4 linked regions of the Astyanax mexicanus genome follow. The protein of the gene in region 3 interacts with the protein of the main gene of each other region in a pairwise test. Links are inferred from orthologs where the notes say so. Each region holds a gene or a part of one and is shown on either strand. Other genes may lie near its edges. The genes, in order: ccn3, chrd, hoxa1a and slit1a.

Region 1 (7,997 bases), on a different chromosome or scaffold from region 3:
CAGGAGGACTATATATCACACAAGTGGAAACACCTAGGGCTAGGGGGCGGAGCTACAAATGAACACAGGTGGAAAAGTACTGGGGAAGAGACACAGAGGAGCACGGGTCACATGGGGATAACACACAGAGACATGAGAACAGACAGGAAACAGGGCAAGGATGTGACATTGTGTGCCTTGCACTTCTCAGTAAATAATTAATTGTTGAATAAACTGAATTATGACTGATTAAGCAAATGGAAAAAATTGTATTGTAAACCACTTGTCTTGTCTTCAGTAATTTTACTGTGCACAAATGTGGTCAATCATTAATAATTAGGCTGCCGTTGCAACTGTGCTATGCAAAACATACATCAATCATCCATAGCAATTATAACCTTGGGTAGGGGTGTGCCATATTGTATCGTACAAAATAATATCGCCAACATTTTTAAATATCATGAACGATATTATACCCTGAAATATCGTGCCATATCACCCACCCCTAATTATCACATCATGATGCTACATTTTTTGCTGTTTTTAGCAAAAGGAAAAATTCACACTGTTCTCAATTACCATTATATATCTACTAGAGACAGATTATATATCTGTCCAGCATCATTTATTTTACTTTAATCCTGGATATATGGAGAAATATGGAGCCATTATTAGTATCATGACATTCTGGATCATTGACTTCTGTTACAAATCTGAAAAAAAAATCTTGTATTTTTTTTTTATATCTCAGTTAGGGGTGTGCTATAGCGTATGCAAAAATAAAATAAAATTTTTATTTTGTTGCAGTAATGTATTCTTTAAATATTTTTTTTACTCAGTGTTTTGTCATATTGCCAAGAGTATCGGTATCGCAAAAAAATACCATGAAATATTGTGATATTATTTTAGGGCCATATTGCCCACCCCTAACTTTGGATTTGCAGTGAATAACATGAATTATCTGATTACAAAGGAACATGTCAAGCCAAAAGTCAGTCTTTAAATTGATGTGGTAGAAACAGGAAAGATGGACAAGCTTAATAATAATATGAGACACTTTTACAAAGGTTACACTGTGATGGCTAGATGACTGGGGAGGCAGAGCATCTCTAAAACACCAGACTGGTCTTGTGGCCAGTACCTACAGAAGAGCTCAAAGCTAGAAGAACCAGTAAACTGGCGACAGGATCATGGGCACCCATGATGCAATCCACGGAGACCTCACCTCACAGCTTAACATATTGGTGCCAGATACCAGACACCTTAAGAGCTCTTTTGAAGTCCATGTATTTATGGGTCAATGCTACTTTTGGAAGCATGCGGGCGACCTACATAATATTAGGCAGGTGGTTATCATGCTGTGGTTAATTAGTGTACGCACTGTCAACTATCTGAGTCAAACAGTCAAAAAGCTAGTGCTCACCACTGTTAATACAGTCAGAACTGCTCCAGAATCCAGCTTGGACCCTCTGTTGAACAGATGCAGTTACAGGCTTTCAGCATTTTGGAAAATGTGAGAAATGTTGCCCTCCCATTGTGATGCTGCTAAAAGGTCCACTACCGGCAAAAAGTGATTTATATATGTCCAGTGTCAATATACAAATAGCATTCTCCATGGAGCGGCTGGGGAGGTGAGATTTATAACCAAAGAATGTGACTTTACACAAATCACGGGAAAAAAAATACAATCTGTCTTCCCAAAAGGTCAGAGGTACAAAGATCATAGAAATATGTTAACATAATGTCTCTTTCTGAAACAAGATGTTATATGCTTGCTTTATAAAGCAGTTTCACCTGGTTATTCTAAACAGCAGTAACAATCTTTAATCAATAAATAATAATTTAAATTTAAACAGACTTACAGATCCTTCCCAATATTAAGTACAAGATTAAGAAAATAGAACAAACCTAACAGCACTAGTTTGTAAAACTCATCTGTCTAGTTTTTCTGTACCATACATTTAACATTGTGAAAAAAATGTGAAAATGTCACAGTTAAGGTTTCCTTCTTAGAACTCCTTTATGAAGATTGTGTTTACACAAGCAGTGCATATATATATTTGTCTTAAATTAGTTGTACACACAGTACTGTCCAACTTCTACCAGTGTAGCCATATGTACGGTGGCCGAGAAAGCCCAACGCAGTGCAAATTGAAAAGCGCTGCAAAAGCACAAAACACATCCATCAAAATTACAACACAGGCGCAGCAAATAGAAAAACGCGCTGCAAATACAACCACAACACAACGGAAGTGAGTCACAACACAACGGAATTTTCCCGGGGGACCTTAAAAGATGCTGTACCAGCTGTATACAAAGGACAATAAGTGGCAAACAAGCTTCTGAAAAGTAAGTTATGTTTATTACCTGTGATTACCACGGTTGTGTGCATATTATTAAAAGTTCTGCTTCACAAAACGCCTTGTTTGCCACTTATTGTCCTTTGTACACATAGTGAAGTCCGAGACGTTACTGAAGACGCAGCTTAGCTGGTACAGTATCTTTTAAGGTCCCCCGGGAAAATTCCGTTGTGTTGTGACTCACTTCCGTTGTGTTGTGGTTCTATTTGCAGCGCGTTTTTCTATTTGCAGCGCGTTTTTCTATTTGCTGCGCCTGTGTTGTAATTTTGATGGATGTGTTTTGTGCTTTTGCAGCGCTTTTCAATTTGCACTGCGTTGGGCTTTCTCGGCCACCGTACATATGTGTGATAATCATGAAACCCATGGAGAAAACCTTCTGGTTCCTAGTTGGGCTACCTATAAAGGCCCTACTCTAACATGTGATCTGATCTCTTTTGTACAATGTAAATGAAAAGCCAAATGTTTCTTTTAATTCCACACTGTAGAAACTGATAGATTTACACTGCCTGGCCAAAAAAAAGTTGCCATCCAAAAAAAGCTAACATTCTAGTATTTTGTTGAATCATCTTTAGCTTTGATTGCGACACACATTCACTGTGGCATTGTTTCAAAAAGCTGCCACAATCTCACAGGATTTATTTCAATCCAGTGTTGCATTAATTTTTCACCAAGATCCTGCAGCATTGATGATGGTAGAGTCTGACCACTGCACAAAGTCTTCTCCAGCACATCCCAAAGATCTCAAAAAAATCTCAATGAAGTTAAGGTCTGGTGTGAAAATGATGATCTCGTGCTCCCTGAATCACTCTTTCACAATTCCAGCCCCATGAATCCTGACATTGTCATCTTGGAATATTCCCGTGCCATCAGGGAAGAAAAAATCCATTGATGGAATAACCTGGTCTATATTCAGTATAGTCAGGTAGTCAGCTGACCTCATTCTTTCAGCACATACTGTTGCTGAATCTAGACCTGACCAACTGCAGCATCAACCCCACAACATTTACTTAGTTAAATCCAGGTGGAGACTTTTTTTTGTCCAGGCAGTGTATTACTTTTGATAATAGGTGATTAGGCAGTTGCTCAAAAAAGTGAATGGTTGCTGAGTGTTAGTACAATGTTTAAAGAGTCATAGATTTAAAGTTGGAAATTTAATTCAGCTGACCTTCCCTAATTATAGCTATTGACAAACCTAATTAAGGTCTAATTACACATTCCATTTGAATCCAGATATTGGAATTTCCAAGTTTTACGTAGGAAATATCAGCTAATACGGCGAAAGAGTTCCAAAATGGTAAAATCTCTGGTTTCCGTAGTTTTTGAATATGCAAAATACTGCATAATGCATATTGTTATTAACAATGCTCACCTGGGAAGCCTCATTTCATTATTGATACTGACATTCATATGTGGAGGTTTTAAGTTTGGCAACCCATACAGGCCCCACATGGGTATGATATCTGTGTTGGTCCATTCTAATGAAATGCCAAATACTACAAATAATAATATTTAAAATGTATTTTTGTACATTGTGTTAATCCTCTTTATTTCCTTTTATTAAATTATTAGTATCTACATTATATTTAACCTACTGCACTCAATATCAGCCTCAGTATTAGCCTGAGTCTCAATAAAAATTCAGTATTATCCTCAATATTTGCCTCAGAATTAATCGTATTATTATCCTCACTATTGCTCTAAATTTTATCAACGGTATTGGCCTCGATATTGTTCTCAGTATTATTGTTGGTCAGGTGAATAAAACAGATTTGTATTTACTCTTCTTTTTTATTTAATTTATGTAAAATATAGATTTCAAATACTGATAGAAAACTAAATGGAAAAAGATAATGATATAGAGTAAACAGTATTTTACAGCCTACAACAAGTAATGTTGTCATGTGACCATTAGATGGTACAGGCAATGTTTCCATGGCTATGTTCACATTAAAAGCCACATTGCTCAAAGCTGTATCTGTGTGTAATGTGAACAAATGTCCCTGAAATGCCTCACTTGCGCACATTGATACGTGTAACCTTCTTAACCAACAACAAAAAACGTCATATTTGAGAGATGACCTGTAGCTTTATAAAGGGAAATGGATGAGTTAGCAGCTCGAGTGGAGAGCAAACAGCTGCACAAAGAGATGTGTTGGAACATGATAAGACGCATGCATTCCGATTTGACGGTTCACAATATTGCCACATGTCCATGGATTGGATACGTATCCGATTTAGGACCACATATGAAAGTGACTCAAATGGTCAAAGTTTTAAAAAAAATGAAGTATTCCGGTGCAGAAAAGCAGAAATGTAATGTACCCATATGGGGACACAGGGTCTCAATAAGTTAATATTAATATTCGCAAAATTATTATCCTCAGTATTATAAACAGTATCCGCCTCATTATTAGCCTCAATTTCTGCGGTCTCTCCCGCCCCTCCCTGATATGCACCATTGTCAAATCTCAGGAAAGTTATTACCCAATCGTAGAGCGTAGGCTGAGAGGCATGTGCACTGCGATTGGCTAATCCCTGCGCAGAAGGCGGGCCCAGTCTGAATACAGGTGGGAAAAGCAGCGCGGTTGTTTTTCCCGCCCGTTTTTGCAGCAGTGTATAAATTCCCACACCTGGCCGGACTGCAGAGTAAAGTTTCCTCAGAGAGACCCTGAAGAAGTTATCTGCAGCTCCCGCGGCCCGAGCATGCTGAGCAGCGCGTTTCAGAGGAGCCTGGCTCTGCTCTTCTGCTCTCAGGTGGGTAAATCAGTGTTATTAATGGGGCTGAGGCTGCAGGTAACCGGGAGCGCGTGCACGCAGACAGCGCTGCCGACTGACTGACCGCATGTCTTTGGTTTGCTTCGTCTCCTCCAGGTGGCGCTGTGCTCCGTGGCGCGTCCGCGCTGCCCCGCGGGCTGCCGCTGCCCGGAGGACCCCGCCGTGTGCGCGCCCGGCGTGCATCCCGTCCCGGCGGAGTGCGCGTGCTGCAGAGTGTGCGCGAGACAGCGCGGAGAGACCTGCTCACAGCGCGCGCCCTGTGATGCCCGGAGAGGGCTCCGCTGCGACCGCAGGAGCGGGGTGTGTGTAGGTGCGTTATGAAATATGATTGAAACTTATTATGAGGTGAAACTTCCCATCATCGGTTTCGGTTTTATCGTCACATTTTCGGGTTTTAGCTTTTAATAGTGTTGTCAGGTAATACAAAAATCTAATTAATTACAGGTGCTGTGATTAATTAATCTAAAGTAATCACATTTACAACTGAACATTTTTAAACTGTATAATTTAACTGTATAATAAGACATTTTACATTAATAGCTGAAATATGTTGCTCTAAAATAAAAATGATACAACTCTTAAACAAAATGCTCAAAAATGTGATGCAGATCTGAACAGAGTTTAGATTTTTGACAATATTTTGACAAACGTTTACTTAGAACAGTCTAAATAAAATGAACATGGATGTACTTTATTATTTTAGCCAATACATAAATTGATTTTAGTATAAATCTGTTCTCTTATATTTTCTGCCCTGGGGCTTTTAATTTGAAGTCTAAAATGGCAAACTAACTGATTAGCTAATGGCTAACTGGTAAAGTTAATAGAAAATTTGTGCTGCTAATTTTTAATTGGCAATGCTAATGGATAACTGTTGATGCTAACTTCTAGCTGGCAATGCTAATGGATTAATGGCGATGCTAATAGCAATGCCAACCGCTTGCTGACAATGCTAATTACTAGCTGACGATGCTTACCGCTAACTGGCGATGCTAACTGTTTTCCGAGCTAAATTAATGACTGATGTTTGATAACAGATGAATGGCACTGTGCTGGTTAGATTATAGTAATAATACCAGCATCAGCCTAGAGTGCTGTGTTTGGTATGTGTATCTGTATCTGAATTCCACTTTGATTTCTTAATTCTGTGATTCCGTCTGTGTTTTCCACATCATGACAATCATAGGACCCTCACTGCCCTGCATTCTTAGTGTTTTCCCTTTTCCCAACACATCTAATCCCAATAATCAGAACATTACTAAATTAAAGTGTGTGTGTTAAACAACAACAATAAAAACAAAACTAACATACAGGGTTGGGAAACAATAAAATAGGCTACATGCTAGATTATGGGTGTGCTGAAACACTCATCCCACATGATAATGTGTTCCCAAGAAGGAGACCTATGGAGCTAAATTAGTGCCAAAACTACGCAAATAAAGAAAACGTATTCTGTAAATATGATACTACTTGCAAACAAACACAACGCGTTTTACAAATACAAAACTCGACTCTCTAACACACACGGTGTGTTTTACAAACACAAAACCTGATGGTTGTAAATATATATGTAAACTTCAAATAAATACACAGCTGTTTTCTAATACATTGCTCTTTACAAACAAATATAACACGTTTTACAAATGCAAAAAGTAATAAATAAAACAAGTAAAACATTATTTTCAAACATTACCGTGTCATGACTCACGAACACGCACAGCCCATTTGTAAATCACGTGACTTTTGGCACAGTTTTAGCAGAGTCGCAAACTCGTGTTGAGATTTTCTCACAAATACACCCAACCCTCGTACAAATGCATCGCCCCAGAACAGCAGGTGGCGCTGTGGGACACTTTACGAGAGGTGGCTGCACAGCAAAGCAAGCTCTCCTATCCAGCGCTCCCCAGAGCATTAATTTACACTTATTAAGGTGTTTAATACACCTTTAATAATCACAACTCTACCATTACCCGATTTACACACGGTTTGGTTTGTTACAAACAGCAGAGATGTAATTATGATATAGGACGCTGTTACACATCACAAATATGAGCTTTCATGCTGAAATACTTTGTATTATGCTCTTTAAAAAAGAAAGAAAAAAATATTAATTGGTGTTTAAATTGTAATATAGATAGATAGATAGATAGATAGATAGATAGATCTGGACAAAAGGAAAGACCACCTAAAAATGGTAAAAAAAAAAAAAAAAAAAAACATTGATTTTACCAAATTGAAAACCTCTGGAAACTAATCTACAATTCTTTGCATTATTTGAGGTCCAATAGCTTTGCATCTTTTTTGTTATTTCAGCCATTTCTCATTTTCTGCAAATAAATGCTGCAAATTTACTGACAATATGCTGAAATACTTTGTATTATGCTCTATCTATCTATCTATCTATCTATCTATCTATCTATCTATCTATCTATCTATCTATCTATCTATCTATATAATTTAAACACCAATTAATATTTTTTTCTTTCTTTTTTAAAGAGCATAATACAAAGTATTTCAGCATGAAAGCTCATATTTGTGATGTGTAACAGCGTCCTATATCATAATTACATCTCTGCTGTTTGTAACAAACCAAACCGTGTGTAAATCGGGTATAAAATGGTAGAGTTGTGATTATTAAAGGTGTATTAAACACCTTAATAAGTGTAAATTAATGCTCTGGGGAGCGCTGGATAGGAGAGCTTGCTTTGCTGTGCAGCCACCTCTCGTAAAGTGTCCCACAGCGCCACCTGCTGTTCTGGGGCGATGCATTTGTACGAGGGTTGGGTGTATTTGTGAGAAAATCTCAACACGAGTTTGCGACTCTGCTAAAACTGTGCCAAAAGTCACGTGATTTACAAATGGGCTGTGCGTGTTCGTGAGTCA
Region 2 (7,488 bases), on a different chromosome or scaffold from region 3:
CAAAAGAAAGAATGAACGTTTGCTCAACGTTCTTCAGTTTTGGGAAGCCTCAGTCTCAGAAGAAAACCCCACTCCACTCATCCACTCACTCTCCCCGCACTCTTTGTAGTTTTACCTCCTACAGGTAGAGAACAAGCTCGTCTTTTCTATTTTCTCTTTTCTCTTTCCAATTCACCCCACCTGCCCCCTCCCCACCCCAGTCAGTGTTCTATTGCCCGTTTCCTCTCTCTTGTGCCCCCATTCTGCCCTCTTTAGCATGTGCATGGTGAGCGGGGTGGAGGTCCGGAATGAGGCGCTCCCTCCGCCCGAGCTCCCCGGGTCTTTATTACGCTGTTATTTTTATTTTATGGTTCTATTACCCCGTTAGTCCGACCTTATTTACCCCTCTCTCACTCTCTTCCTGAGCGGGAAATTGCCGCCCCCACCCGCAGAGAGAAACCCACACTGAAACCAGGCAACACGATATAACCCCCCATCAGTTAAATAATAACTTTTATTATTATTATTATTATTATTATTATTATTATTATTATTATTATTATTATTATTATTATTATTATTTGAGACTGACTGAAATAACATAAAATTAAATTAAGATAATAAGGATAATAAAATATAGATATATAATAAGATTTATTTTAGAAATTATTATTTAGTACTTAACTAAGCAATTAAATACTTAACTAAACGCCATTTAAATCAATAAAATGCTAAAATGTAGCAAATCTAAACTTTTTAAAACTACCAATTAAAATTGTTAAAAGAAATCGAATTAAGGTTTTGAAGAAATGAATTTTAAAAATAGACAAACCAGAATTAGCTAAATATATCATGGACATATATTTACCAATGGTAAAATAAAAAATAGTTAAAAGCTATTTTACAAAAAATAAAATGCAGAATATGTATTTATTTCATTTAAAGTAGAATTATGTTTAAAGTAGAATACATTTATTAAAATGACTATTGAAAAAAATAAAATGTATACAAAAAAAATAAATGAAAACATAATAAAAAAATAACACAATGATTAAAACAAATTAATTACAATATTTTTTAAACATAAAGGTGTTATGGTAAAAAAAAAGCAAATAAGCTGATATATTTAACAAAACGTATTATGTTTATCTAATTGATTAGATAAATAGTAAATATACAAAGCAAAAAATTTAAATAGTAGAATTAAATGGCATTGAAAGCAACTAACAAAACGCTATAATCATTAGGAAGGAAATTAAAATAACTCATAAATGAAAGGAGAACAAAAGACAAAGGAGCGAAATGAAAGAGAGGGAAACTGTTCGTTGATGTTCTGATTGATGTCCGAAAGTCATTTTGCGGCTCTTTAATGAGTTCACATTATGATGTGATTGATCTAAATCGGTTTGCGTTTGGATGTTAAAGTCGCAGTTATTTAAAACATTGACCGGTTCTTTGTTCTGGGTTAATAATCAACTCTTAAAGACAATATTAAAGGATAAAAGATTCTGATGAGCCCTTTTATCATCACAGGGTCACAGGTGTTTTTTAGTTTTATTTTTAAAAAGGCGCTTCTAAGGTTCCTTTCGGAATAAAAATCAAATAGCAGTCGGGTTTTAGCGGTAATGCGTTGAAAGAATACCGCATTATTATTTTATCGGTTTAAACGGAAGGCAATCTGTACCGAAGTATCGCTTTGGGTTCGTTAGGTTCGTCCCAGAGCTCTGGGGGTCTCTGAGAAGATCTCTGAGGTGTGTTTTTACAGTTAGAGCTGACTGATGAGGAGCGAGGAGGGTCCAGACCTGCGGTGTGAAGATCCAGGTTTAGAGAACAGCAGTAAATATGACTGAGTGTCTGCTGGGAAAGTGTCCTAAAACAGGAGGGGGGGAAAGAGGGAGTTAGAGGGGTGGATGGAGGGATGCCAGTGGGGGGGGGGATGAGTGTGAGGTGCTTCTGGATTTTGGAGGTATTCAAACCATCTTTATTTGTTTCTGCTAAATCACTTGAAGTGTCTTACAGAGTGTAAGGCCTAAATAAACATCCAGGACACACACACACACCAGCGCATGTATTCCTGCCTTTGTGGGACAGCACATTCCACATTAGCCACCTGAAATCCAAGGATGCTGTTGTAGTTATGCTATAACTAGCCTATACACATTAAAGCCCAATGATGCTATCAAACACACATATACAGTACCAGCCAAAAGTTTTAGAACACCCCTATTCATCCCCATCTTCAGGTCCAGTCAGTTTGTTACAGAAAATGGTAAAAAAAAAATCCAGTGTAGAAAAAAAGTAAAAAAAAAAATAAAATAAAAAAATTAATTTTGTTTTGTATAAAAATGGATATTGTAAATGTATACTTTACAAAAACTTTAGCAAACAATGCATTGGTTAACAGCATACGAATTAGAGTTCTGACAAGTGAAGTGAAGTATTAAAATCATTGATAAGATAAACTAAGATAAAACAACTTGTCTGGGTCTTAAAAAAGTGCTTAAAAGTGAACACACAGATAAGTTTAAACGCTGCCTTAGCTTCATAAAGTACCATGTATTCATACCTTTATGGGACATTTCCTGTAGATGCTAACCGATAAAGACAATTCAAATCCTATAATTAGCTAATACACCTTAAACTCTAGAGATGCTAACACTGCTAACACACATACACAAATAAACACACACATATGTGTGCAAATGTATTCAGCATGTATTCATATCTTTATGGGATATTTCCTGTAAATGTTACCTGCCAAATGCAATGTCAGTGACACCATTAGCTAATACACCACAAAGCCTAGTAATGCTAACACACAAACACACAGATAAGTGTGTTAATACTTCCTAAATGTCTCACAGTAGCATGTATTCATAGCTTTATGGGACATTTCCTAATGCTAACTCCTAAACACAATGCCAATGTGAGACAGAATTAGCCTACACACACTAAAGCCAAGCTCTCTCTTTCTGGTTAGCACATAGCTAGTGTGTGTATTACTGTATTTGAGGGTATTTCCATGTGCTAACTACATTCCAACACAGCTGTTAGCCAAATTTACCCTACACAGACTAAAGCCTAAAGGTGGCTAGTGTGTATTTCTGTCTTTGTTGGACAGTTTCATATGCTAACCATAAGTCAGCATCACTTTAACTAAATTAGCATGCAGGATAGATGGAACACACTGCTAACCTGACTCTAGACTGAACACACACACACATATTGGAATGTATTTCTGTCTTTGTGGGCCATTTCCTTATGCTAACTGCACATCAACACCACTGTTAGCCAAACAAAGACAGGAATACACACTTATGTGTGTTTGTGTATATATGTATGTATGTATATATGTGGAATTGGGTTAGATATGTAGCACAACAGCATTCACACATATGTGCTTACCTTAACTTCACACACACAAACACACATTAGTGTGTATTTCTGAAATTCTGGGCCATTTCCTTGTACTGAATGCATGCAAATGTGCAAATGCCACTGTCAGCCGAACAAAGACAAACAAAGGAATACACACATATCTGTGTGTAAAATCAGGTTGATTCTGTAACCCTGTCACCCTTTTACCACTGTTTTATTATTTAGTCCCCACAAAGAGATAAAAACACACAGACATGATCTTTTCCTATGGTATTCTAATTTAGGGATAATTCCACACAGTCTTTTCTGTGTATTTGTATTTCTATTTTAGTTGGGTTCTTCTGTATGAGGAGGTGCTGCACCTAGCTAACCCAATCCTCATCTCAACCTCCCCCTCCATCTCCCTCTCTTTCTCTCTCTCTCTCTCTCTCTGTGATGCTAACACACAAACACACACCAGTGTGTATTCCTATCTTTATGGGACATTTCCTTATGCTAACAGCATAGCAATTAGCCTAGAGATGCTAAAACAAAAATTGCACAGATGTGAGTGTGTGTAAAAGGTGTTATGCTAACAATTCTAAATATATATATATATATATATATATATATATATATATATATATATATATATATATATATATATATATATATATATATATATATATGTAACGCACAAACACACATACATTTGCTTATGTGTTTGTGTATTCCTACCTTTATATGGCATTTCCTTATGCCAATAACTGTATAGTCAGTTTAGACTCTTTTTTAAATGATGATATAATGATATATAAAATACACAGGTCCCCACAATGTCAACCTATACAGATTTCTACTATGAGGTCCCCACAAAGTGATAAATACTTAAGGCTTAATATGGTACTTGCATTGCAATTTTTAATTACTATTTATTTTAACATTTATTAATTTTTTAACCTGTCTTAACCTATCAAACACACACTTACACATAAACACACACTTAAACTACACACATTCACACCACAGGTAAACCCACGCCCCCCGGTCCAGACCGCCCCCCCCCCTCTCCCCCCACTCCCGTTTCCCCTCCCCTCTCGTTTCGCCCGTGTATAAAACCGACAGGCGCTCGCGCAGAGTTATCACAACTCTCAACTCAGACTAACACACACATACACACTCTCTTACACACTGCACTCTCACAAACTCTCCTCCAGCTTTACTGAGGCAGACGCCGCTTCTCACGATACATCAGCTGGACTTCTGCTGCTGCTGCTGCTGGATCTACACGAAGAGACGGACTTACTGAAAACACAAAGATAAAAACAGAGGGAAGAAAAGGACGAGTGCGCTTCTATTCCTTCGCTTCTTCTCCTCCTTCTTTATCTCCACCTCGAGGATGGATGTCCTGCCGCTGCTTGCCGCGGTGTGTGTGTTATTCAGCCCGCACACACTCGCACTCGCTTCCCGAGCCAAGGCGCCTGCGCTTCCCATCCAGTCCGAGAGAGAACCGCTGCCTTCCAAAGGAGTGTCCGGTACGGCAATGTCTGTGTGTGTTCGTGTGTGTATGTTTAGTATTTAGCACATTGTGGGGACCTGAAACTATCTGAGGTCCCCAGAATGTTGCAAAACCATGTGATATAATGATAAATTCATTTTAAGTAAGGAATGACTTAGATGCAGCACAACATTTCTACATATCTATTAATTGGATTTACTATACCCCACAAAAGTATAAATGTAAACACAAAGACTGTGATGCCAGTCAATAAGTTAGTTTTATTATGTTGGAGTAAAAGTGAGTGGGTAAAGATAGTGTTGTTTTTTTAGTAAGGGTTTAAGTTTAACTTTATAAGGAACTGCATTTAAGCAAATAGAATTGGAATTGTCTCACAAAGATAGGAATACAAACAGAACCGTCTATATGTATGTGTGTGTTTTAGCATCACTGAGTTTGAGTGTGTGTCCTAATTCAATCAAATACTGGCCCTGACAAGTCTCCAGTTTCAGCTCTGGAGGTCAGTCTCTCCCTGACCCGCTCCTGGACGTCTCTCTCTCTCTATCTTTCTATGAGTCTGTTAGTTGTAGCTGAGGGGCTTTCTGACACCATTCCAGATGCCTGTAACCACACACACTAACACACACACACACACACACACACACACACATCCCCTCCAGCCGTCTCTAATCTCTTCCAAATCTTACTTTTTGTCATTTTAATCAAACCAGTCAGAAAACATTTTAGTCATACCCTTGTTCGTTTTAACCCCCTCTTTCCCCTTGTACAAAAGCCTATACACACTTAAGTTCCCACAAAGAGATAAAAACCAAAAAATGAAAACACACACAGACATTATCTTTTTGCATGGAATTCCAATACAGGGATAATTTCACATAGTCTTTTTCTTGTGCTTGTATTTCTATCTTAGTGGGGTTCTTCTCTAGGAGGCTGTGCTGCACCTACTTATCCCACTCTTTACTTCAACTCTTTACTCTTTCAAATCTGTATATTGAACTTCCAGATGCGGAAAGTCACAATTTATAGTAGGCCTGTATGAAATGATGAAATGATCATTGTTCCTCAATATAATACTCTCTCTCTCTCTCTCTCTCTCTCTCTCTCTCTTTCTCTTATTGTGCAGGATGCTCGTTTGGTGGGAGGTTTTACTCTCTGGAGGATATGTGGCATCCGGATCTCGGAGATCCTTTCGGTGTGATGCACTGTGTGATGTGTCACTGCGAACCAGTAAGTCCCACTTATGCACCTCACTGTTGATTTTATCTCCTGATAAACAGAAAGTAGTTCCGGCAGGTTAGAGTCCTGATACTAATGAATTAATATACTCTGTGTGTGTGTGTGAGCAGCAGAGGAGCCGACGTGGGAAGGTGTTTGGGAAAGTCAGCTGCAAGAACATAAAGCAGGACTGCCCCGAGCCCAGCTGTGACGACCCCGTCCTGCTGCCGGGACACTGCTGCAAAACATGCCCTAAAGGTACCCAACACACACCCTCTCACTTAGAAATATATATATATATATATATATATATATATATATATATATATATATATATATATATATATATATATACACAGTGTATACTCTAAAACACACCCATACACACACCTGCAAACATGCACCCTCGCAAACTTTCCCTTACACACACACACACACACACACCTGAGTAATTGTATGTTTTCCTTCAGCTGGTGAAACTGAATGAATGGAAAGAGAGTGGAGTGTTTGGGAGGCCCTGACACACACAGTGTTTATGTTTCTGTGGGAAAGTGTGTGTATGTGTGTGTGTGTGTTTGCGTGAGCCTGTTGGAAAATCCCTGGCTGTAGCTTGAGATGGATAGATGGATGGATGGATGGATGGATGGATGGATGGATGGATGAAGGAGTAAATGAAAGATGGATGGAGTGCTATAATTTCTGAAAGTGCTTTCACACACTCACATACTCGTTTATATATTCACCCCAGACCACAAGACCACCTGCATTCGTTTCTGTTTTTAATGAACGAATGGGTAGAAATGGTGAAAGAGCACTCTTTCATTGCAGTGATTTCTATTACATATTTTTCTGCACCTCATCCAATTAAACATTATATTTAATATCCTCAATATATCCTCGATATGGCATAATCTGAAAACACTTTCTTGAGGAATGCACCCAGAGAAATGATCCAAAGTTACCTGAAATAAACTCTTTTTTTACATTGACTTTCACTGGAGGTTAAGACTTTTTTTGAGATTTTAATTGGACAGCGTTGATATCATGATTTTATCATTATAAGATACAGTATCATTATATTGCCCAGCTCTACAATATCATATATCCAGCATCCAATACCCAATAATATAGTATTAACCACACACACACAGTGTTAGACAGTACTGTTCATCATCATTATTATCATCATTTAAGCAGCTAATAAAGGACTGTATTGTGTATTGATGAGCTGATTGAGTGTGGAGTCTGATTGATGTTGTGTGTGTTTGATGGCAGGTGATTCAGACAGGAAAGCCACAGAGTCTCTGTTTGACGGCTTCGAGTTCTTCCAGGAGAAAGAGGACGACCTTCACAAATCTTACAACGACCGGTCCTACCTCAGCTCCGAGCAGATGAACACCGGAGACAGCAAGACAGGT
Region 3 (7,321 bases):
ACTGAATGGTCAAAAGTTAAAAAAAATAGTGCATTATCGCGGCTCATACCGGTGGGCATGTCCAGTTATGTTGACGCACTCTAACTGCTACAAAGTTTGTGGCCAGAGTCATGGTTGTCAACATCATCATCATCATCTTTTTCCCATCAATAGAAAATAATATTGAGGCCTTTAGCCTGAAGAATAGTGGTCAGCAGATGTGGAGGCAGGAGATGGAGTTGAAGGTGCAGAAAGAGACTTTTCGGACATATCCTCCGCCTTTTCTGGACCATCTCCTGGTTCAGACACAGTCTTGGGCATCAGACCCTCTTTTTCGCGTTTCTTCTGCTTCATGCGACGGTTCTGAAACCAAATCTTCACCTGAGTCTCGTTCAGCTGGAGAGCGGCAGCTATCTCCACACGCCTGGCACGGGTTAAGTACTTGTTGAAGTGGAACTCTTTCTCCAGCTCTGTTAGTTGTTTTGTGGTAAAATTGGTGCGAACGGTGTTGGGCTGCCCACCGTAACCGTACTCTCCTACTTTACCTGAGAAATAAACAGAATGAAGGTCATTAAACACACAATTTACACATTACTGGAGTATAAATGAGATTTTTAATTTACTGCATTGAGTTTTCAGTCTTTTATGAAGCAGAAGTAAGAAGTTGTTGTGTTGATTTGCAAAAGTAGTCTTTCAAAATAAGTATTTAAGATGTAGGCAAAGCCAATTAGACTGACTTATTGTGACAAATTGTATTTTAGAAAAATGTAGCAGTTTCAAAGTAAAGGTAAAAAAAAAAACTTAGATATTTGAAGACTTTAGTGCTCCTCACAGAACTTTTAGAAACATTATTACACCAATTATTTAATATTCAAGAGCAGGATATCTGACACACAGTTTTATGACAGTATAAAGATAAACATTTGATTGGAGAGGTATGTTTTTTAAAATATTTTATTTTGTTCAGGGACACATAAATCTCTGTAAGGCAAAAAAAAGAGTTATATTTGCAATAACAATTAATGGACCTAAATATCTCTTAAAAACTTCAGTGCCTCTAAAAAGCTGCTTCACAAAGTTTTTTTTTTTTTTTTTTAACAAGATGGTTAGGAATGAGGTTCTTGATTAAACTGTTTTACAGTAGTTTAAAAATAAAGTTTTTTGAGCAAAATCATTTTATATTTTTTAATTATTGAATGGCTTAAAGACACATAATGCAAACCAAAACCCCTCTATTATAATGACAATACAAATGCCTTATAATCAGCAAGACCCCTGATCAAGAACTCTACAACTTCATCTTAAGCCATCCTAAAACGAATGTTTAAAGTTAAAGTTAAACTTTTAAATGAAAAGCTTTTTTAAAAAGATGAACCCCTTTCCCCCCAGACCTGTTTTTATGTACCTGTTTTTGGGGGGTTCCTCTTAACCTTCATCCAGTCAAAGGTCTGCGCCGTGGACAAGCCGTCTGACAGAGGTGAACAGCACGTATCGTGGTGGCCATGCAGAGGAGATAGGTGGTTTGAGCATCCCCCCACGAAGGTCAGATTTGCCTGATCCTGACCATGACCGTAGGCTGCGGCTGCGTACTGAAGTTGCCCGTGATGTAGGTGCGCGTTGCTACCGCTGTAGCCATGGCGATGATGATGAGGATGATGAGGATGGTGAGGATGGTGGTGGTGGTGCTGCACAATGTTTCCAGAGTAGACCAGGGGGCCGCACTGAGCGAACCCACCAGTCGTATCAGCGTCCTGGTTCAGGGGGTAGGGATTATAACCGGCGCAAAAACTTTGGCTCCCGTAGGACGGGTGCGCACCGTAAGCGATTGACAGGGTCCCGGAGGACTGGTAGGACCCAGCCTGATTCGGATGACTGGATACGGTGTCCGGTGATGCCCTGTCGGACAAGAACCGCTCGTTTCCAGAGCAGTTGTTCACCGTGACCGAGCACGACTGGAAAGTTGTAATTCCGTGATCTGTGTGAAAAGCTCTAACGGAGCACGAGCCCCCGCCACCTCCGTCCCCGCCGCTCATCACGGAGTAATCTAGGAACGTGCTCATTCTGGCATCTTCCTGACCGGACTCTCTAGGCGGTCTGACACCACCAGACCTTCAATCAGCGCGCGTTTGGAGAGTACCGCGCGAGGCTGATATGAATGAACACTGACAGTCACGTGAGCCGGGTCAGCCAGTGACCAGTGGCTTTGTTGGGTCTTGAGCTTGAGTGGCCTCGCGCTGACAGATAGTCGTTAAAGAGTAAGCTTATGTAAATTCCGACCTCTTGTCGATCAATGACGTCAGCGCACCGATTGGGTCCTACTCGTAGGAACAATTGATGGAACAGCAGAGCGCAGGAGTGGAGGAACTAAGGTGCACGGATGCTGAGGAGCGATGGGCGTGAGAGAAACGTGTGTGAAGTATCCGACACTTGAACCATCAGGTAGGACAAGTTCGAGACCAATGGAATACGTGATTTTGCAAGGTCAGAAATCAAAAGTCTAGGACCACACAAATAGCGGTAAAACGTAAATCGTTTGACTTCTATATTTACAAACGCGTTTTTACTGGTCCCTGGATGTAAGCAAGGTTTGTTCATTCCCGGAATTAAACACACCTTCCTAACCTGACAAGTGACTAAAATCAATAGTGTTTGAGCCGGCAAGCCGTATGCAAGACCGGACCAGAGTTTAGCTTCTCTAATTAGTGCATGGCTGTATCCGTGATAAATGCTAAACATTTGATTCACTCTGTAGATCTGCAGAACATGTCTTAAATATATAACCATTGCTTGAAAAAAAAGAGTAGAGTGTGTGTGAAGAGCATTGAAAAGATTGGCAAAAAAGCTTTACTTTCAGCCAAGGCTCTTTAAACCTTTAAAACAAACAACAATAAATAATACAAATAACAAAATATTATATTAGGTAAGAACTGTAAGAATTGATCTATCACCTTTATGTGCAGGTTATTTTAACATTACAAAGATTTTTCACATAGAATTTAAGTGTTTATTTGCTGATTAGCTTCTATAAACACATTAGCTACTTTCCACATTCTGTTCTAACAATGAACACTTTTAATTTTGAAAGCGCTAAAAATGGTACTTTAAAAAAGTGATAACATTGTTTGTAATAGAAACATGAAGAATATTTTTCTAAAATATTTTTTTGCAGACATTAAAAAGTTCCTCTATGACAGACATAGAGGTGAGTCAAACTAACTGTATGACAGAATCTGTGAAAGCAACTTTTTTTCAAAGTTGCAAGGACATTTACATAAAAGATTCACAATAATTTAAATATCCTCCCTTGTATATTAACAAAATCTAAAGATTCCTCCACTCCACTGAAGGGTTCTTTAGGGAAACAAATGTGATTATTCTATGGCATAGCTCAAACAGCCTATTGTAGCAGCTTTATTTTTAATACTGCACAGCATGAAAATGATAAACTAATTATTATTTGTTTATGCCAGCCTGCAGTGTGGCATTTTCATTACCTGCCTATGATAATTTGATAAGGGTGAAAGTTAATTTAATGAACCCCAGAGTTCCAGCGTTATTAATAGGCACTGCAGTTCCCTGGTGGAGAACAATATTAATCCTAATTTGACCTTAAGTGTTTCCAAGAAATGAATGGCCTTGTCTAGTCCTTAAGTTTTCCTTGTAGTTGGATTTAAAATAATTCACACACAAATATTAAGAGTTAAATACCTGCTTAATATGTTTATTAGTTTATTGTAATGTTTCTTGGATGGCCAAAACACAAAACACAGATAAGCAGTGAAAGTGAGAAAGTGTGTAAGGAGTGAGGGTCAGCGCCCCCTCTGGCTGGAGGAGAAATAGCGCCTGTTTTGTTTTTCGTGTATTTTTTTCTTCATTCAAAATGGCGCTGAGTGTTGAGCAGGATTTCTCATCTCCTCCTCTAACTTCTCACATCCTGCCCCCTCCCACCCCCACCCAGAGGGAGAGAGAGAGGAAGAAAGAGAGGGAGAAAGAGAGAGAGATTTCTCCCACGCAGAAACGCTTGTTCTTCTTTGTGAAAAGGCTGAAGAAAGCTGGAAGTGACATGAACATGTGTATGTGTACGATCGGGGAAAAAAAACTCTTCCCATGATTTGTTAGAGAGGATTTGGTGAATGAATATTTCACACTCACACAGGGATATATGCCTGTATTCACATATATTATAAATATTGGTGTAAAAAATTAATAGGCCTTCGACGCTCCGGTGGGATTATTTATATAACTTACTGTATATGTTTAAGCGTTTATATATATCTTGGCTAAGACAAAAAAACGATATGTCTAATATGTAAAATTAAACACATAGAATAGAATTTTCTTTTCTCAGTTTCAATATTATTATTATTCATTTATTTGTATTTTTTGGTGGTAGTAGTATCAGCATAGTGGTCTCAAAAATGCACAATAATAATAATAATAATAATAATAATAAATATAATAATAATAATAATAATAATAATAATAATAATAATAATAATCATTGCCCAACTACTACGACTAATTAATAATAAAATGTTACTACTAATTGATAATAAAATTAGCCATACAATTAGCCATAATAATATAATAGTATAACAATAATTGGACACAGACATGTCCCAACAACTTGACCCATAGTTGTATAATGTACTTAAATAGCATTAATGTTTCTAATGTCATGACACAACACCGTAAAGGCCAGAAAACCCACTTCCACTTCCAGAGTTGAAATGAATGACTTGTCCATGCGCTATAAAAACGCCTCTTACGGAGGTTATGTACACTGGCCTTACGCCTGGTGTTAAAACGGCAATAAAAATGAATTATTACCGATCGTCCCTGCAGGGTTTTCTCTGCGCCCCAAAACAGTCTCAAACAATCTCAAAATAAGAGAGAGGGAGACGCGACTGGGCTTTTATTTGCGCGGACGTCACTACCATTGTCTCGTGCTGTCAGGGTGTATGAAAGACTTTGATTTATGAGTTGGCAGAGAACGAAACATCCCAGGCATTTCCCCACGCGGAGCCTGGAGCAGAGCCCCAAACAAAGAGCACAGGTCCAGAAAAAAAATCAGCCATGTTGGGGTTTTACAGCATAGAGGAAGAAAGTTTGTAAATTTGATAGATGGTGTAACTGTAAACCTCCTAGCACGCGCTACACGAGAACATGAGTACTTACTTCTTTTGGAGTGGCTGTGCTTATCGGTGCTTATCAGACAAGAGAACCAAACTAATGTGTTTATAAGCATATTTATCAAATCTATTAAAGTTAGAGTATGAGAGTAACTATTTTATTTCTCCCTTTCTTATTATATTCTTATTACATGTTTCGTGCGATTTTATTTATTTAGTTTCTTTGAGTTATATTATTTTATTTCAAGTCTGCAAACTGTTTTGTTTGTTTAGCAGTAGACCAGCAAGGCTGCAACTTTTAAATCACCAATTAATCTAACAATCTAGCCCGTTTACAGGTTTTTTTTTTTGTTCAGTTCAGTAAATAATATCTTAATGTGTTTTCTCAATTTTTCCACCACTGGCTTTATTAATATTTTGAAAGAGAAGTGCATTTTCATAATACTGTTACTACTTTAGCAATGCTATTATTTTAATGGACAAAGATGTGTAATACAATGTGGTGTATCTGTGCAGTTTGCATTTAAAAAAGCTGTATTACATTTTTTTTACCAAATTGTAACTATGACACATTTTTATAAACAAGCACATTTTTATTCTAACAAAAATATCTGTTACAAAAATAAAAACAGTCGAATCCATCTTTAGCTAAAACCTATTCATTGGTTCGTTTGTGCGTTACTGCATACAGTCTATGATACACAGCATTCTATGCACAGAGAATCTTACCTTTAACCATTTAATGTTAACCTATCAGGAAGATGTGCCCATCTGACAAATAAGCGATAACAACATATCCTTTAGATGAAGAGCACATCATTCCAGTGTCGCAGTTCTCAATAGTTCAGATGCTGCAGATCGATTGTACTTAAAGCGTCCGTGAAAAAGCAGAAGTTATCCGTGGATAGATGCTCTGGGGTGCTCAGACACTCGGACAGTGTCGGCGAAGCGGCGTCGGACAGATGTAAGCACGAATCCGCAGAGAAACCGTGGAAGTCCTTCAGAGACACGTCCAGAGTCAGCGGGGAGCTGCAGTTGTCCGGGCTGGAGGAGGGCGGTCTGTGGCCCGATAGCGTGGGTGAGGGGCTGGAGACGTGTTTGTGGGCTGGAGACGTGTCCAGGTCGTTAAGACCGAGGGGCGACATGGAGAAGTTGTGAAGCTGCTGAGAAACTGAAGATGACTCCGGTTGAAAGGAACGCAGATCTTTATCCGGGAGGGCCCTCGACTCCTGACCGAGGCTAGGCTCGAACACAGAGGTCTCTTCATCGCTCTGCGCACCACTGTCCTCCTCAGCCGCTGTGTTCCTCAGCTTTTCCTGACCGTCCTTGGTCTGGGTCTGCCGCTTGTGTTTCATACGACGGTTCTGAAACCACACCTTGACTTGACGCTCGGTCAGGTCCAGTAAAGCTGCTATCTCCACGCGGCGCGGCCGGCACAAGTACTTGTTGAAGTGAAACTCCTTCTCCAGCTCCAGAAGCTGCGTGTTTGTGTATGCAGTCCTCAGCCGGCGAGAGCCTCCTCCTCCCCCTGCTTCTCCTCCACCGCTCGCCAAACCAACCTCGGTAGGAAGCTCGGGTGAACCTGGAGCACATAGAACAGAGTGAACATATGAAAAGGAAAAACAGCAGTGTAGCCGAGAGATAAAAATCACGCAAGAATCAGGCCTATCTCTGGAGGTGGCCGTAGTGTTGTTGGCTAAGTCACCGTGGTGCACTCTGCACAATCCCCATAAAACAAGATTACGAGTATAAAACAAGGGATCTGGCAGGACTTTGCAGCTCATAAATTGCAGTGCTAAGCTATGTGGCGCGTGCTCCCCTCCACTCACAGTGGATCTAATGAATGCACGAGCAGTCCCACGCTGGACAACAGTAATCCATCATTCTTCATTGCTGTCAGATATGTATATAAATAAAAAGTCTCGACTGTAGGATGTTGGAGAGTGTCAGGACAGGAAATGTGGAATAGTATTTACTATTAGTAATTGTACGTGAAGAGATTATTGCGTTATAAGGATCTAAGCAGAGCACGGAAATTTTATTACGCATACCCCTTCATGACCCCCATAATTTCTCATATCGTTCACCCACTCCCACTCACCTTTCGGAGAGAAGCAGATGACGGGGCCAGCAGCCGTGGGCGCAGCGGTGGTCGTTTGAGGAGGATGGTTGTGTTTCTTGGAGGCCTTCTTCTCGCGCATCCACGGATA
Region 4 (7,691 bases), on a different chromosome or scaffold from region 3:
TTTATTTGCTTTAGCCTCTGGTAGCATGCACTTGCACATCTTCCCCTACAGAGCCTGCCGGGAGTCATTCATTCTTCATTCATTGTTGTGAAAATTTTACTCTTAAAAAAAAAAGGCATATCAACCACCCTAATCCACTGTGCAAGATCTGGCTGATTATATTAATATATAGTGCTTTTCAAAAGCACTGCAAGTATGTAGTTGTGCAAGCAACCTGCGAGAAGATCATCATGCAAAAGCATGCATCTACTAAAAGCATCCTTTTAGGTCACTTTTTTAACCATAGTTGATTAGTTAAGCTCTTTTATACATGTTGTCTCTAACACTAAATAATAAAAGTTTAATGTGTGCAGGATCTAAGTTTCTAGGCCTAAGAAAAGAGAACCTGCAAGAAGATCATCATGCAAAAGCATGCACTTAATAAGAGCATCCTTTTATGCCATTTTTTAAACCTTATTTAATTAGTTAAGCTATTTAATATGTGCATGTTTCTAACCTTAAATAAATTTTAAAGTGTGCACCATCTAGAACCTAGGGTTTAGAAGGAGAACCTGCAAGAAGATCATCATGCAAAAACATGCATCTACTAAGAGCATCCTTTTATGACATTTTTATGACATTAGTTGATTAGTTAAGCTATTTAATATGTGCAGTTTTCTAACCCTAAATAACAAACATCTAAGGTTCTAGACTTAAAAAAGGAGAACCTGCGAGAAGATCAAGATCAAGCAAAAGCATGCACCTTATAAGAGCATCCTTTTTAATGCCATTTTTTAACCTTATTCGATTAGTTAAGCTCTTTAATATGTGCATGTTTCTAACCCTAAAGTGTAAAAGATCTAGGATTCCAGGCTTTAGAATGAGAAGCTGCAAGAAGATAATCATGCAAAAGCATGCACCTACTAAAAGCATCCTTTAAGGTCATTTTTTTTAACCTTAGTTGATTAGTTGCAATCTTTCATAAGTGCAGTTTTCTAAACCTAAATAATACAAAGTTTAATGTGTGCAACATCTAAATTTCCAGGCTTTAGAAGGAGAAACTGCAAGATGATCATTGTGCAAAACATGCACCTAATGTATCCAGCAACTTTTGACCATTTTGGTCACTTTTTCAGCCACCAACTATAGTTGATTAGTTAAGCTCTTTAATATGTGCAGTTTTTTAACCCTACATAAAAAGATGAGTGCAAGATCAGGAGTTTTAGGGCTTAGGAGCAGGAGAACCTGAAAAACGTGCACCTAAAACTAAATGCATCCAGCACCTTTTGACCTTTTCGGTCACTTTTTCAACCATCAACCATAGCTGATTAGTTGAGAGCTTTCATATGTACATACATTTTAATGTTGCACGATCTAGAACCTAGGTTTTAGAAGCAGGACAACCCAAATAAACGTGCACCTTTAACTAAATGCATCCAGCACCTTTGGACGTTTTTAGTCACTTTTTCAAGAGTTGTGTGGTTTAGAAGAAGGAGAACCTAAAAAACATGCACCGAAATCCTTTTTCAACCATCAACATTAGTTAATAAGTTAAGATCTTTAATATGTGCACTAAATATATTTTAAAGTGTGCATGATCTAGAACCTAGGGTTTAGAAGGAGAACCTGCAAGAAGGTCACATGCACCTATAAGTATCCAGCACCTTTTGACCACTTTGGTCACTTTTTCAACCATCAACCTTAACTCTAAATAAATATTAAAGTGTGCACCATCTATAGGGTTACAGGTTTTAGAAGCAGGAGAACCCGAATAAACGTGCACCTAAAACTAAATGCATCCAGCACCTTTAGACCTTTTGGGTCAGGTTTGACTTTTTTGCAGTTTTTGCAGTTGCAAACCTGCTATTTCAGGTGCTACGTTTCTAAGTACACAAGTACAGGAAAGTGTGTGTCCTGAAGAAAAGTGAGCAAAAAGAAGGGTGTCCAGCCGTGACCCTTAACTGGTTTTAAACTCTAGAAACGCGAGGAACGAAAGGTTTACTCACAGCCTCTCCGTGTTCCTGGGTATATTCCTGGGAACGGTCTTGAGCCCCAGTCCGTGGCAGTCCACCGTGGTGCCGCTGCAGGTGCACAGCGCAGGACATGCGCTGGAACCACCGAAGACGACGGCGCTGAGAAGCATCATCAGCAGTAGCGGTGGTGGTGCCCACTTCCAGCCTCCGGAGTAGCTTCCCCTGATCCCTGTGATCCCGGTGATCCCCATGATCCTCACGAGTGGTGACGGCGCCCCTCGCCTTTCTCTTTCTTTCTTCCTTTCTTTATCCGGTGCGTCTTCTTTCTTCTGCCTTTTTCTTCTTTATCTTTTCTCCTTTCCTTGCTCCTCCCAAACCTCGGACAAAGCCGGCAGACACTCTTTACAAGTAGTGCTTCTTTTTCTTCTTCTGCTTCCCCAGTTGTCTCCTTCTTGTCTTCTTCTGCTTCTACTATGTCCAGCAGAAGTCTTCCCAGGTCCAGTCGCTGCACAGCCTGGACAGATGATGGACAGATCTTGAAAGGTATGGGACGGGAATAAGTGTGGTTGGTGTCCTTTTAGGAAGGGGGACGAGGGAATGGACACTTAGTTTGAATGGTCTTTTTCCAGGCTAGTCCTAGTCTTTTCCTCCTGTTCTTCTCCTCAGGGTTAGTGGACAGGAGTGTGTCCTCTACAGCAGTCGCTCTGGACTTCCTAAAGAAAACTCTCTCTCCTTCTGTCTCTCTCTCTCTCTCTCTCTCTCTCTCTCTCTGTCTCTCTTTCGTCCCTTTCTCTTTCTCAGTGTCTCTCGCCCAGCCACACTCTCTCTGCCTTCCCTCTCTTTGTAGAGTCTCCGAGTTTGCGCCTCTCGCTCTCTTTTTCTCTCTCTTTCTCTTGGCGTCTGGTTCCCTCCCTCTTCGCTCCTCTACTGACTGCCTACCGGGAGGAACAGGGGGAATGGCAAAGAGAGAGAGAGAAAAAAAAAAGAAAAAACACACCACACACACTCTCTCTTTTACACACACACACATATACACACACAGCAGTCATCCATCACAAGGATCTACAAATAGCAGCCCCCAGGCTCCTCCCACCTCCCTTCACCTCCCCTCCCTTACACCCACTACCCCTCCCCCTTCCCCAAACGTACCTCCCAACACACACACCCCTTACACACACACACACACATACACACCCCCCTCAGAACCCTGCCTGAACCCACCATACCACCACCACCACCTCCTACCCCCCACCGTCGCCCTCCACCAACCACCCCCCCACCCCTCCACCCTCCACTACAGTCCTTCAGGCGTCCGATCAACTCAGAGACCAACTCTCAGACCGGACCAGCCGGACCCGCTAAACCCCCTCCAACACCACCACATACACCACCTTCCCCTCCACCTACTACAATACTGGGTACAATACACGATACATGTGTTAATAAAAAGAGAAACACTGTATCCCTTTATTTGCACGGTCCGTTGCAAATGCTTTCTTGATGCTCAACTAAACGTCTATTAAATGCATCTGTCAAAATTCAAGTCTAAGCTGAAAGTAAATGATTCTCTATTGAATGCACACATTTTAGGGTTATGTTTAAAGATAAAAACAAGGTTTGGGTTAGATTTAGGGTTTAGGATAAGATTAGGGTTAGTGTTAGGTTTAGGGTTACAGAATTAGGTTTAGTTTCAGGGTTAGATTTAAAGTTTAGGGTAAGGCTAGAGTTAGTGTTAGATTTAGGTTTTAGGGTTAGATTTAAGGTTTAAGATAAGGTTAGGTTTAGACTTGGGTTTAGGGTTAGTTTCAGGGTTAGATTTAAGGTTTAGGATAAGGTTAGGATATGGTTTAGGTTAGGTTTAGATTTCAGGATAAGGATAAATTTAGTTAGAGCTAGGTTTAGGGTTAGTTTGAGGTTAGATTTCAAGTTTAGGATAAGGTTTAGGTTGGGTTAAGGGTTAGGGTTAGATTTCAAGTTTAGGATAAGGTATGAGTTAGGGATAGATTGAAGGTTTTAGGATAAGGTTTGAGTTAGGGATAGATTGAAGGTTTAGGATAAGAATAGGGTTAGAGTTCTATTAAAAAGTTAGGATAATTTTAGGGTTAGATTTAAGCTTTAGGTTAAGGTTTGCATTATGGTTACGTTTTAAGGGTAATTTGAGGTTAAAATGAAAGGTTTATGGTTACCATTATGGTTAGATTAAAGGTTTTGGATAAGGTTATGGTTAGGGTTAGATTTAAGGTTTAGGAAAAGGTTAGGGCATTTTAGTACCATAGTTACATGCTGTTGTCTTTTTTAAGAGAATGGAACTCATGCTGTAGAGGGTTAATCTCAGGACTACACTAACCCTGAGTCACCGTGTCTTTAGCCTTTAACCCCTGAAGGCCTGAAGGACGGCTCATGCTTCACATTCCTCCACCTCAGATGACTTAAACGACACAGGCGACGTGTTCGGTTTCATCGCGGCCGGAAGAATAATAAATAAGAGACATTCGAGATTTAGCCAAATTTGTGATTAATGATTTCCTGAAGATATTTTCCTGAAATGTAATCCAATCGCATTAGTGTGACGTCACAGATTTACCGTTTACACCCTCTGTGTTTATATATCAAACCCCCCCCCCCACCACCAATTCCACCCCAACACCCGGAGAGGGCCAGGCGCGATCATCTGATGAAGATGGGGGGAGGAATGTTGCGGGGGGGTTTGGTTATATAAAGCAAACACTGAGCTTTTGTAGAAGCTGGGAGGTGGAGGAGGTGGAGGAGGTGAAGGTGGAGTTGTGGTAGCAAAGGTATGAAGAATGTGTGGAATTACAACCATTTTTCTACAAAGCCGCCTCATTTCAGGGGCTCAGAAATAATTAGACAAAGAAACTCAAAAGCCATTTCATATCAGAAATATGTGGATTTGCCCCCCCCCCCCCCAAAAAAAAATACAGCAGAAAAAGCAGGAGCTGTTTAAAAAAAACTTTTATTTTGAAAGCACGCCTAATTCTGCACCCCGGCCATGAAAAGCACCTCCTCTCGAGAGCACATTTCCAATTAAAGTTTTTTTTTTTTTTTTTAATCAGGAAGACGTAGGTGCACACTCCCGAGAAGGGGTGCTTTTTCTAATCTACATATTTTAGGGTTGGGTTTAGGATAAGGTTTGAGTTGGGGTTAGATTTTTAATTTAGGATAAGAATATGGTTAGATTTAAGGTGTAGAATAAGGTTAAGTTTAGATTTTAGGTTTAGGATAAGGTCAGAGTTGGATTTAAGGTTTAGAATAAGGTTAGGGCATTGTAGTACAATTATGCAAATAATTTATGGACCCAATGGGGAAGATGAATGGCTTTATATGGTGGTAAAATCTACCATGTATCTAAACGATACAGCAACTAGAATATACACTTTAGTTAGCAATTTGAATAATTAACGTAAAGGAGTTAAAGAATTTGGAGTGAAAGTTCAATGTGTGCACTTTTTCATGAAATGCCACCATAAAATGTTGAAAATAAGAAATAGAAATAAGACCTAACAGGTTTACGATAGAGAAGGTGTGGTGGTGTTGGTAATAGATGTCTCCTAAAAATGTTTAAAATTAGGTATTAAAGATATTTTAAATGGTAAATATTAAATAAACGTACGTGCTCTTTAATCGAGTGACTATACGCTATACGAGTCTGGTGGCTACAGAGCAGGTATGGAGAATGTGTGAAAAATGTGTGGTAAAAACTTATAGACAAAAAGAGAAAAGGAGAAAAAGAGAAATAGAGAAAAAGAGAGAAAACAGAGCCTCGGAAAGCCTCAGAAGTATCATATCAGTTGTCTGGCAGCGAGAACACAGTGGTGACCTGAGACGCTGGAAGTAAATGAGCCAGCAGTTGAAAGATTGCAGTTTTATGGCTCTAATGGAAGCATTTATTTTGTGTTTTAAAGCGTAATGGTGCTCTAATACTTCAGTAACAGCTTTTTCTGCAGTTTAATAGTGTCGCCTCAGAGACGATCCAGAGGAAAAAAATACACCAGATATAACGCACTGTTCAAATAATCAAACACGAAGCCGCCGGCGCGGCTCTACCAAAGAGAAAACAGCTATAAAATCCTAAACGAACGGCCCGAACGCGCCTGACCCCAGTCCACAACACGGAAACGACCGATCCGTCCGTGTCGAAACAAAAAGATGTAAAATTAACAAAAGACAAAAAGAAAAACACACATTAATCAGAGGAACTGAGCAGCTAGATCCTTTCAGATCCCACTGTAAACATTACCGAGCAGAAAGAACCTTACTGGTTGTACGGTGTTGCTATGGTGTTTTAGGTGGTAGCAATGGTTCTGGTAAGCTGTTGATAGTAACACTTTAGCAACCATCTAAGTGGCTGCTAAGCAGTCGCCAGGTGGTCGTTATTGTAAGTTGTTGCTAGGTGGTAGCTACAGTGTTGCTACGTGGTTGAAGGTGTTGCTATGTGGACTCCCAGGGGATTGCTATGTGGCTGCTAAGCAGTTGCCAGGTGTTTGTTATGGTTTTGTTAACTTGTTGCTACGTGGTTGTATGGTATTGCTACGTGGACTACAAGCAGATTGGTATGTGGCCGCGAAGCAGTTTCCAGGTGTTTGTTGTGTTTTCGGTACGTTGTAGCTCAGTGGTAGCTATGGTGATGCTTTGTGGCCTACTTTGTGATTGTTATGTAATTGCTTGTAAGTTGTTGCTATGTGGTTGCTATGGTGTTATGTGGTTTTATGATGTTGCTATGGTAGCTCATGAGATTGTCATGATGTTAAGTAGCTTCTAGGTGCAACTGTTAGGAGGTTGCTGTGGTATCTCAGGTGATTGCTTTCATTTTGGTAGGTTGTTGCAAGGCAGTTGCCATGGTGTTGGTGTGGTATTCTATGTAGTTCTTATGGTTTCAGTAAACTGTACCTTGGTTGTTGCCATTGTGTTACTAAGTGGCTGCTAAGCAGTTGCTAGGTAGTTGCTATGGTATTCCAGATGGTTGTTATGGTTTCAATAAGTTGTTGCTATGTGATTGTATGGCTTTGCAGTGGACTCCCAGGGGATTGCTATGTTGTGGATAAGTAGTTGCAAGCTGGTTGCAATAGTGTTACTAAGTGGCTGCTAAGCAGTTGCTAGGTGGTTGTTATGGTGTACCAGGTGATGGTTAAGATTGTCGCGAGGTTGTAGCTATGTATTCCACGTATCCCACAGGTCAGTAAATAAGATAAAGCATGAAAGATAGTGAAGGAATGATAAAATAATTTACTAATTCAGTGTAGAATCACTAACCACACAATTACACAATTACAGCCACATACTTCACATTTCTACTGTAACCAGGTTCTTAACACGACCATTAATCACCAGATAAACCTCCAAACCGCTCAGTTTAAGTCCTGAAATTAGACAGTAAAGTCCAGTCCGTATCAGAAGGTCATCTGAGACCAGCTTGAGGCCCCCCAGGGCCAAAAATCCAAAACCCCACTGCAGTGCTGCAGTTTCCCTCCGCTAAACGCATTCCTACAGAGCCAATCATCTGGCAGCGCAGTAAAGCATGCGACTGCGGCTAACACATCGTACCCTCCCGACCACGGTTACGCTATATATACACCATCACCACAGCTATTCCCAGCGCACCAGTGTAAAACACCAGCGTTACAGAGCTCATATCATCAAAAATCCATTCAGACGTGAAAATAACTGTGTAATGTAGCGCGCAAACATGCTGCATTCATTTAGCTTTACAGCTAAACAGCA

What was found.
Region 1: the proteins of hoxa1a (region 3) and ccn3 interact in binary tests that used the Homo sapiens proteins (3 or more experiments, as listed by UniProt). The link is inferred for Astyanax mexicanus from reciprocal best matches to the Homo sapiens genes HOXA1 and CCN3.
Region 2: the proteins of hoxa1a (region 3) and chrd interact in binary tests that used the Homo sapiens proteins (3 or more experiments, as listed by UniProt). The link is inferred for Astyanax mexicanus from reciprocal best matches to the Homo sapiens genes HOXA1 and CHRD.
Region 4: the proteins of hoxa1a (region 3) and slit1a interact in binary tests that used the Homo sapiens proteins (3 or more experiments, as listed by UniProt). The link is inferred for Astyanax mexicanus from reciprocal best matches to the Homo sapiens genes HOXA1 and SLIT1.

What each region holds. Positions count from the first base shown.
Region 1 is NC_064413.1:15,499,510-15,507,506, forward strand, and holds the start of ccn3 (CCN family member 3), read left to right. Parts: upstream 1-4,976; 5' UTR 4,977-5,042; coding exon 5,043-5,093; intron 5,094-5,210; coding exon 5,211-5,424; intron 5,425-7,997. UniProt on the Homo sapiens protein: Immediate-early protein playing a role in various cellular processes including proliferation, adhesion, migration, differentiation and survival. Acts by binding to integrins or membrane receptors such as NOTCH1.
Region 2 is NC_064425.1:10,794,722-10,802,209, reverse strand, and holds the start of chrd (chordin), read left to right. Parts: upstream 1-4,485; 5' UTR 4,486-4,735; coding exon 4,736-4,871; intron 4,872-5,978; coding exon 5,979-6,082; intron 6,083-6,201; coding exon 6,202-6,328; intron 6,329-7,345; coding exon 7,346-7,486; intron 7,487-7,488. UniProt on the Homo sapiens protein: Dorsalizing factor. Key developmental protein that dorsalizes early vertebrate embryonic tissues by binding to ventralizing TGF-beta family bone morphogenetic proteins (BMPs) and sequestering them in latent complexes.
Region 3 is NC_064410.1:62,517,578-62,524,898, forward strand, and holds the start of hoxa1a (homeobox protein Hox-A1a), read right to left. Parts: upstream 3,005-7,321; 5' UTR 2,040-3,004; coding exon 1,385-2,039; intron 525-1,384; coding exon 172-524; 3' UTR 1-171. Other genes in the region: homeobox protein Hox-A2a, read right to left, coding at 5,948-6,693, 7,213-7,321. UniProt on the Homo sapiens protein: Sequence-specific transcription factor. Regulates multiple developmental processes including brainstem, inner and outer ear, abducens nerve and cardiovascular development and morphogenesis as well as cognition and behavior.
Region 4 is NC_064432.1:26,599,464-26,607,154, forward strand, and holds the start of slit1a (slit homolog 1a), read right to left. Parts: upstream 3,004-7,691; 5' UTR 2,204-3,003; coding exon 1,986-2,203; intron 1-1,985. UniProt on the Homo sapiens protein: Thought to act as molecular guidance cue in cellular migration, and function appears to be mediated by interaction with roundabout homolog receptors.